2 linked regions of the Xenopus tropicalis genome follow. The protein of the gene in region 2 purifies or fractionates together with the protein of the main gene of each other region. This does not show direct contact. Links are inferred from orthologs where the notes say so. Each region holds a gene or a part of one and is shown on either strand. Other genes may lie near its edges.

Evidence for each region. The genes of interacting proteins can lie anywhere in the genome.
Region 1: the proteins of fbxo7 (region 2) and psma6 purify together in Homo sapiens (affinity purification with mass spectrometry; 3 studies listed by BioGRID and IntAct, with this or other methods). This does not show direct contact. The link is inferred for Xenopus tropicalis from reciprocal best matches to the Homo sapiens genes FBXO7 and PSMA6.

What each region holds. Positions count from the first base shown.
Region 1 is NC_030684.2:109,491,029-109,495,081, reverse strand, and holds the end of psma6 (proteasome subunit alpha type-6), read right to left. Parts: intron 3,716-4,053; coding exon 3,634-3,715; intron 3,455-3,633; coding exon 3,299-3,454; intron 3,098-3,298; coding exon 2,919-3,097; intron 1,161-2,918; coding exon 1,066-1,160; intron 743-1,065; coding exon 685-742; 3' UTR 572-684; downstream 1-571. UniProt on the Homo sapiens protein: Component of the 20S core proteasome complex involved in the proteolytic degradation of most intracellular proteins. This complex plays numerous essential roles within the cell by associating with different regulatory particles.
Region 2 is NC_030679.2:7,489,974-7,493,108, forward strand, and holds the end of fbxo7 (F-box only protein 7), read right to left. Parts: intron 2,152-3,135; coding exon 2,056-2,151; intron 1,962-2,055; coding exon 1,785-1,961; intron 1,298-1,784; coding exon 1,260-1,297; intron 1,179-1,259; coding exon 828-1,178; 3' UTR 559-827; downstream 1-558. UniProt on the Homo sapiens protein: Substrate recognition component of a SCF (SKP1-CUL1-F-box protein) E3 ubiquitin-protein ligase complex which mediates the ubiquitination and subsequent proteasomal degradation of target proteins and plays a role in several biological processes such as cell cycle, cell proliferation, or maintenance of chromosome stability.

The sequences.
Region 1 (4,053 bases), on a different chromosome or scaffold from region 2:
CCAGGATATTCACATTAACGTGTCACAAAAGCAGGCCAAGTCGGCCGGGCACCCTAGGCGACCCAGCCAGCCACCTCGCCCCCACAGCTTCCCCCTCCCTGCGTGTGCACGAATGCATGCAAACGCTGGGACGCCCTGGAGGGGGATTGCTTCACGCAAGGCACACAGATGCAGTGCAGGGAGGGAGTCCTTGGGAAATCAAATGTGGGGGTAAGAGATCCCAGACTAGGGGTGGCAACAGAGGTACCTGCCTAGCGTCCCCTCAAAGTTGCGCCCTAGGCAGGTGCCTCTTCTGCCTACCCCTAGTTCTGGCCCTGACTGGTCAGGAAACGGCATCACTGAGAAACATACGTAGCCCTTGGTCACCCTGGCAGCTGATTTGTAAGCCATGGGTGAGAACATGCTGCACAAATGCTTACACTGAAGGTAGCATAGAGCAGACACATTATATATCAACACGAAAGAGGAGTGGATCACGTGGGAGAAAAATATGATGTAAGGGCTGGATTTTGCAGAATGTCTTGTCTTTAGAAAGAGAAGCTTTGCAGAAAAAGAAAAACAGACTATGATATCCAAAAAGAAAAAAATCTGTTTTATTTATGTAGAGAACAAAACAAAAAGTGTTATGAAGACAGGTGATTTTACCAGGCAAGAGCTTTCTGGGCAGAGGTGAAAGTAGGATGACTAGTCACGCTCAGCTAGTGCAACAAGGTGGACATCAATCTCTGCTTCTGTAAGAACTCTATAACCACAAAAAAAAAAGTGTTACAATTTATAAATATTTATTACTTATTTACAGACAAGTATAGGTCTCAGGACTGAAAAATACCATAATGCTGTATATGGTATTTGTTATAGTAGAATGTCTCACTTATTTCTGCTGGGGCTTTTTTAAGAAAACTCATTATGAGCAAACTTTTCCAGTTCTGTGCATTTATAGGAATTAGTTCAAAAAAGGTATTCAATTTATCACTACTATAAAAAAAAAGGCATGGTTTCATGGTATTGTTTATTTGGCCAATAAGGAATGCTCTTTCCTTTTAAATGCTCCATACAATTACAGACCTGAATTTTGGATCCTCGACTGTGACGACTCCCACCTCCAGTTCTGAAGGTTTGAAATCAATAGACAGTACCGTGGAGAGACAAGAAATGGCTGTCTGAAATGAGAAAATTCATATTTTTGTTAAATTCTAAAGTAGATCAGATTTTTCAGCAGCTTGATCTTGCAGTATAGCTAGGTGTGCGTAAATGACATTGTTTGTGCTTAGGGGTGCCTCTTCAGTGTCAATATTCTATTGTTCATGGCTGTCACCTCAAGTTTCCCTTAGTTTACATATTAACACTATCAACAGCAATGCTAACATTATTGTTAAACATCCATTCTATCCCCCTCTAACAACACATCTACCCTGTGCAGTGTTTATTATTTTAAGTGCTTTATGCAAATACACCATAAAAAGTTATCTTTCTGCGAGGCAGTAGGGTGACTTGAACTGTGCACCTCCGGTTGCTACAGGGTTTCTAACCCCTTGTAAGCTCTCGGTTTCTTTGTTTATATTCTTGCAAATTATGTTCCAGGGAAGGGTGTGCATTGGCAGCATTACTTCATTATTGCTGTAAGCGCTGCGAGCAACTGAAGAAATATGTGCACTGACTTTGTAGAATTACAGCTGACCTGTGTGATGCCTTCGCTGCTTGCAGCACTTTCAGCAATAAATCACCCTAAGTAAATAACACAAGGGGCTAGAAAATCCTTATAGCTGCAGTAACTGGCTTCCGGTTTCAGGAGGAGATGTGGAGTGCGCACGTAGGGTCTTGCACAATTTGTGTGGCCCTATTGCTTTTTTTTTTTTTTTTTTTTTAAAACAGCAGGAAGATAACCTGTTTTTTTTGGTATTTTTTGTGCAGGGCAGATGTACTGTCAGAATGAGAGAGAATGGATTTTTAACATAATCATTTTTAGTTTTACTGGTCCTTTAAGTTTAAGTAGAATAGGGCTTGTGCTAAACATACTGTTTGCCTTAGGAAATATTTATGGTTTTTAATTTGTTATTTTATATCACTTGGGAGCCTCTGCAGAGCTGCCCTTTATCTTAAAAGATAACAGGCAGTAGCTGGGGAAAGGGAGGGGTTTATTCATACAAAGTGGACTGCTTTGTTTCACTTTGCTAACTGAGACCAGGAAGTAGAATGAAATTTTAGTTCAATTTTCAAATGTAATAGATTTGTATACTGCCCCTTTAAACAGGAGCTCTTATCCATGTTTAGCCAATAACTGAAATGTCTGCGGCCTGGAATATCCTACTACTGCTCTTTGTGGATAGAGTTTAGGGAGGACGCTTTCCTTTTTCAGCACAGGTCATGCTAACTGCATGAAGTGAGGACCACACAAAACTGATTTGCTGAGTTAGATGTTGAAGAACTTGACTGGAACATAAACACCTGCAGGACGAAGTGAGAGGCCAACTCTGAGCTAGGCCTGACAAATATCAGGGGCTAAAATAATCAATGCTTGTGGAGGTATAACACTGTCCCAATGTAGTGGGTAGTCTTCCCAGCAAAGAGAAGTTATTATAGCTGCAAAGAGAGGACTAACTTCATATTAATACCCTTGGTTTTGCAATGAGGGAATTTGTCTTAAAATGCTCTGAAATGCGTCAGCCACTAAGCACTCTAAGGGAAAACGGAAAAAGTACAAATAGTATGCATACACCGGTTACCAAGGTGAGAGGTTTTTACTCTGCTTCTGCATTCCTTGTGTGCAGTGAAGAAATGGTAGGAAATTACAAAACACAGGCTGCATTATTATTTAAGGGAGGGCAAATAGGGTAGATGAAAGGTAGCAGTGAGTGTACAGGGAAATGCAGAAGGGTGGGCAGTAACTGTGGGTTAAAAAAAATGATTTTCCATGCTACCTCAAGAGTCTGCTCATAAGTCCAGTCCAATTTCTTCTTTACTTTCTTTTCTAGGAAGCTGGTGGCCTCAGTTTGCTTCACTCCAGCTGTGGTAGCCTTAAAGCCACAATAGTAGCCTGCAGGATCACATTTAAAGACTTGTGGTCCATTCTCCTCATCCACTCCAATTAGGATCATGCCTACAATATTTTAAAAAGAGGCAAAGAAGAAAAATAAATCCCCACACAATGAAACAAAACTTGTAAATGCATTGCAAGCTGTCTTTACGTGAGCAGAAAAACCTGGTGTGCATCACCAATTCTACATCTAAAGAGTTAATTTATATGTTAATTTATAAATCATAAGCGCAATGTCTTTCTCAATATTTTGAGAACACTTACAACATCCTAAGGGCCTCATTTCAGCATTCTGTGTGTATACTTGAGAAATATCCGCAATCCTTTTACAAAGCATATCTACTGGGATTTCATAGCCGTATTTGTACTTCCAATTTGCAGCCTCATAACGTGCCCGCTGGACCTGCGACCTGCTGTCAGCTAGTGAGAGAGAGAAGGGACAATGTCTTATAAAACGTAAAAGGCTTTAAAATGTAAAGAGCTTAAAAAGCGCAGAGAAACAATATGCAGCATTAAGAAGCTAAAAAGATAGATGGTCTCATTTACAACCAGGGCCTTTAGCTTTGATGTGGCTAATATATGGCGATTAAGCAAAATACCTGTCATTCCGGTCATTACACAGCCAATGGATTCAGTAATCCGGAATAAATGGGTTACTGTGTTGCTGTCCAACAGCTTGTCCTGTGAAGGGAATGATATCACTTAAAATTCAGGAAAAATAAAAGTACATAAACTTGCCTAACTTTGGAAGAACACCAGGGAAACAGAAAGTCTGAAATGGGACAGTAATCACCTTCCACCCCCTCTCACTCTATAAACAGGTAATTTGTTCAGAGTTCCAAAACTCTGAACAGCTCATTATCACGGGGCTTTTCACTGGACAGGTAATTTGTTTTAACAGCTCCTTCTCTGCTTAGCAGAACAAGGAAGTGCTAAAGTAAAAGTGATTTTTTTTACTTATTTGTAAAATTCATAAAATTACAAAAACAGATATTTTCATTTAAAACAATAAGCAAAAG
Region 2 (3,135 bases):
CTGGGCCCCCTTAGCCCATAACAAGGTTACAGATATATAGAAACATTGGGGTAACAGTCACCTCGCTATAGTTCCAGGGGTACCCAGGGCACAAATAAGCACTCACCCCAAATCCCCCCCTAACTGGCCTTCAGGCTGGGCCCCCTTAGCCATAACAAGGTTACAGATATATAGAAACATTGGGGTAACAGTCACCCTGCTATAGTTCCAGGGGTACCCAGGGCACAAATAAGCACTCACCCCAAATCCCCCCTAACTGGCCTTCAGGCTGGGCCCCCTTAGCCCATAACAAGGTTACAGATATATAGAAACATTGGGGTAACAGTCACCCTGCTATAGTTCCAGGGGTACCCAGGGCACAAATAAGCACTCACCCCAAATCCCCCCCTAACTGGCCTTCAGGCTGGGCCCCCTTAGCCCATAACAAGGTTACAGATATATAGAAACATTGGGGTAACAGTCACCCTGCTATAGTTCCAGGGGTACCCAGGAGGGGTGGGGGGGGGGTTCTACTCTGCAGGTTCCCACCTTCTGGCCGAGGATTATTTCTATTTTCTGTTCTCTGTATTTGTATTTATTTATTGATGTCATAAATAATAAAAAAAAAAAAAAAAAGTTTCCCCAAGCCCCCGCTCTTAATTATTCTTAACAAACAGTTCTATTAGTAATAGAAACACCCCAGTGGGGGGGTAACTGCCCCCATTTGCCCCATGTACCCCAGATAATAACAAAGCAGGAAGTCCAGCGCCAGGGGCTTATTCACAACTTAAGGGGAAACATCCAGTGCAACAGTCCGACCTCCGAATGTCTCCGACCCCCCCGGGAGTTCATATGAAGCCCCTCCGGATGTCGGGGCCCCTTCCTCTGCTGGGGCGGAGACTGCTGGGCCCCGGGATCGATGGGTCGCTCTCAGAAAAGGGGACTGTGACTTTAAAGGGGTTGGATAAGGGACTGAAGTGCGAGGAAGTCGGCCCGACTCGGGGGATGAAACTGGGGTCCAGGATAGGGGGGAAGGGCCTTTGGTCGTATTCACCCCCGATGATACCCGGAGGGTAATTTAAGTCAGGGGGGAAGATGTTGGGGTAATAAGGGTAAGGGTGGGTGATCCTGGGGGGCAGGAAGTGCCGGCGTACAAAGCGGCTGCGCTCCATCTTCTGCTTGTACTTCTCCCTGTAGAGCTGCAACACAAACAAAGATGGCGGCCCTTATACTGAGTTGCACCCAAGGCCCCGGCCCATATCTACAGTAACAGCACCCACCTTTTTCCAATCCATGTCCAAACTCCTTGGAAGGTTATCTGTTCAACAGCAAAGCATAGAGTTAGTGCTGATCCCTAACAGCATTGCCACAAAGCAACATAAACCCAAGATACCAAAACTTTGCCTTTTAGTGCTGATCCCTAACAGCATTGCCACAAAGCAGTGCACCCAAACTGCTGCAATTGGTTTTTGTACTATTTAGCTTGGGATTTCAGCAGCTATCTGGGTGCTAAGGTCCGAATTATCCTAGCAACCAGGCAGTGGTTGGAATAACAGACTAGAATATGAATAGGAGAAGTTTTTGAATAAAAAGATAGTCCAATAATAATAATAAAAAATAAAGACCAATTGAAAAGCTGATCATTTGCAATTCTATAACATACAAGTTAACATAAAGGTGAACCGCCCCTTTAAGAACAATATGGCGGCTATAACTGCAAATCGGATCTGCCGGGTTACCCCCTCACCCCCAGTGTTGCAAGGCACAAGAATATGTGGGTGCAGTGTCCCTAAATTTGTACTCACTCCGGAAGTCTCGGACGCACAGGAACCGCCACAGGGAGGGGTCGTTGGTGTCGGCCAAGAACTCCTTACAGGTGGCCGAGAGGCTGAGAAGGGAGCGAATGTCCAACAGGCGGAAAATCCTGAGCTTGAGCTCCGGGGGGAGAACGAGTAGCCCGAACACATCCGGGAGGTTCAGCACTGAGACGGGAAAGGAAGGAGATGTAATAACGGCTATAACTGGGGGGGGGGGGGGGGGGGAAGTGGCCAATAGCGGCCCGGGGCGGACTGTTACCTTGCCGGGCAGCAGCAAGCAGAGGGTAGGCCACCTGGTCTTTAAACTGCCCCGATAACTTCTGCAGATCCTTATACACAGAGGCAATGTTGTTATCTGTGGGGGGAACATGAAGATGCTGAATCCTACTACCCCCTACTGTAAATGATAAGGATATTAGCAGTCACTGAGGGGTTCTGTGCCCCCCATATAAAGGCACAAGGCTGCAGGCTGAGTTATACAGGGAACTCTGAGTATCACTCATGTATTATAAGGGATAATGTACCCCCTACTGTAAATGATAAGGATATTAGCAGTCACTGAGGGGTTCTGTGCCCCCCATATAAAGGCACAAGGCTGCAGGCTGAGTTATACAGGGAACTCTGAGTATCACTCATGTATTATAAGGGATAATGTACCCCCTACTGTAAATGATAAGGATATTAGCAGTCACTGAGGGGTTCTGTGCCCCCCATATAAAGGCACAAGGCTGCAGGCTGAGTTATACAGGGAACTCTGAGTATCACTCATGTATTATAAGGGATAATGTACCCCCTACTGTAAATGATAAGGATATTAGCAGTCACTGAGGGGTTCTGTGCCCCCCATATAAAGGCACAAGGCTGCAGGCTGAGTTATACAGGGAACTCTGAGTATCACTCATGTATTATAAGGGATAATGTACCCCCTACTGTAAATGATAAGGATATTAGCAGTCACTGAGGGGTTCTGTGACCCCCATATAAAGGCACAAGGCTGCAGGCTGAGTTATACAGGGAACTCTGAGTATCACTCATGTATTATAAGGGATAATGTACCCCCTACTGTAAATGATAAGGATATTAGCAGTCACTGAGGGGTTCTGTGCCCCCCATATAAAGGCACAAGGCTGCAGGCTGAGTTATACAGGGAACTCTGAGTATCACTCATGTATTATAAGGGATAATGTACCCCCTACTGTAAATGATAAGGATATTAGCAGTCACTGAGGGGTTCTGTGCCCATATAAAGGCACAACACCAAAGGCCGAGTGCTTTTATACAGATCATGGAACGGAATATAAGGTGACTATTTTACAACAGGGGGTACCTTATTTATTAT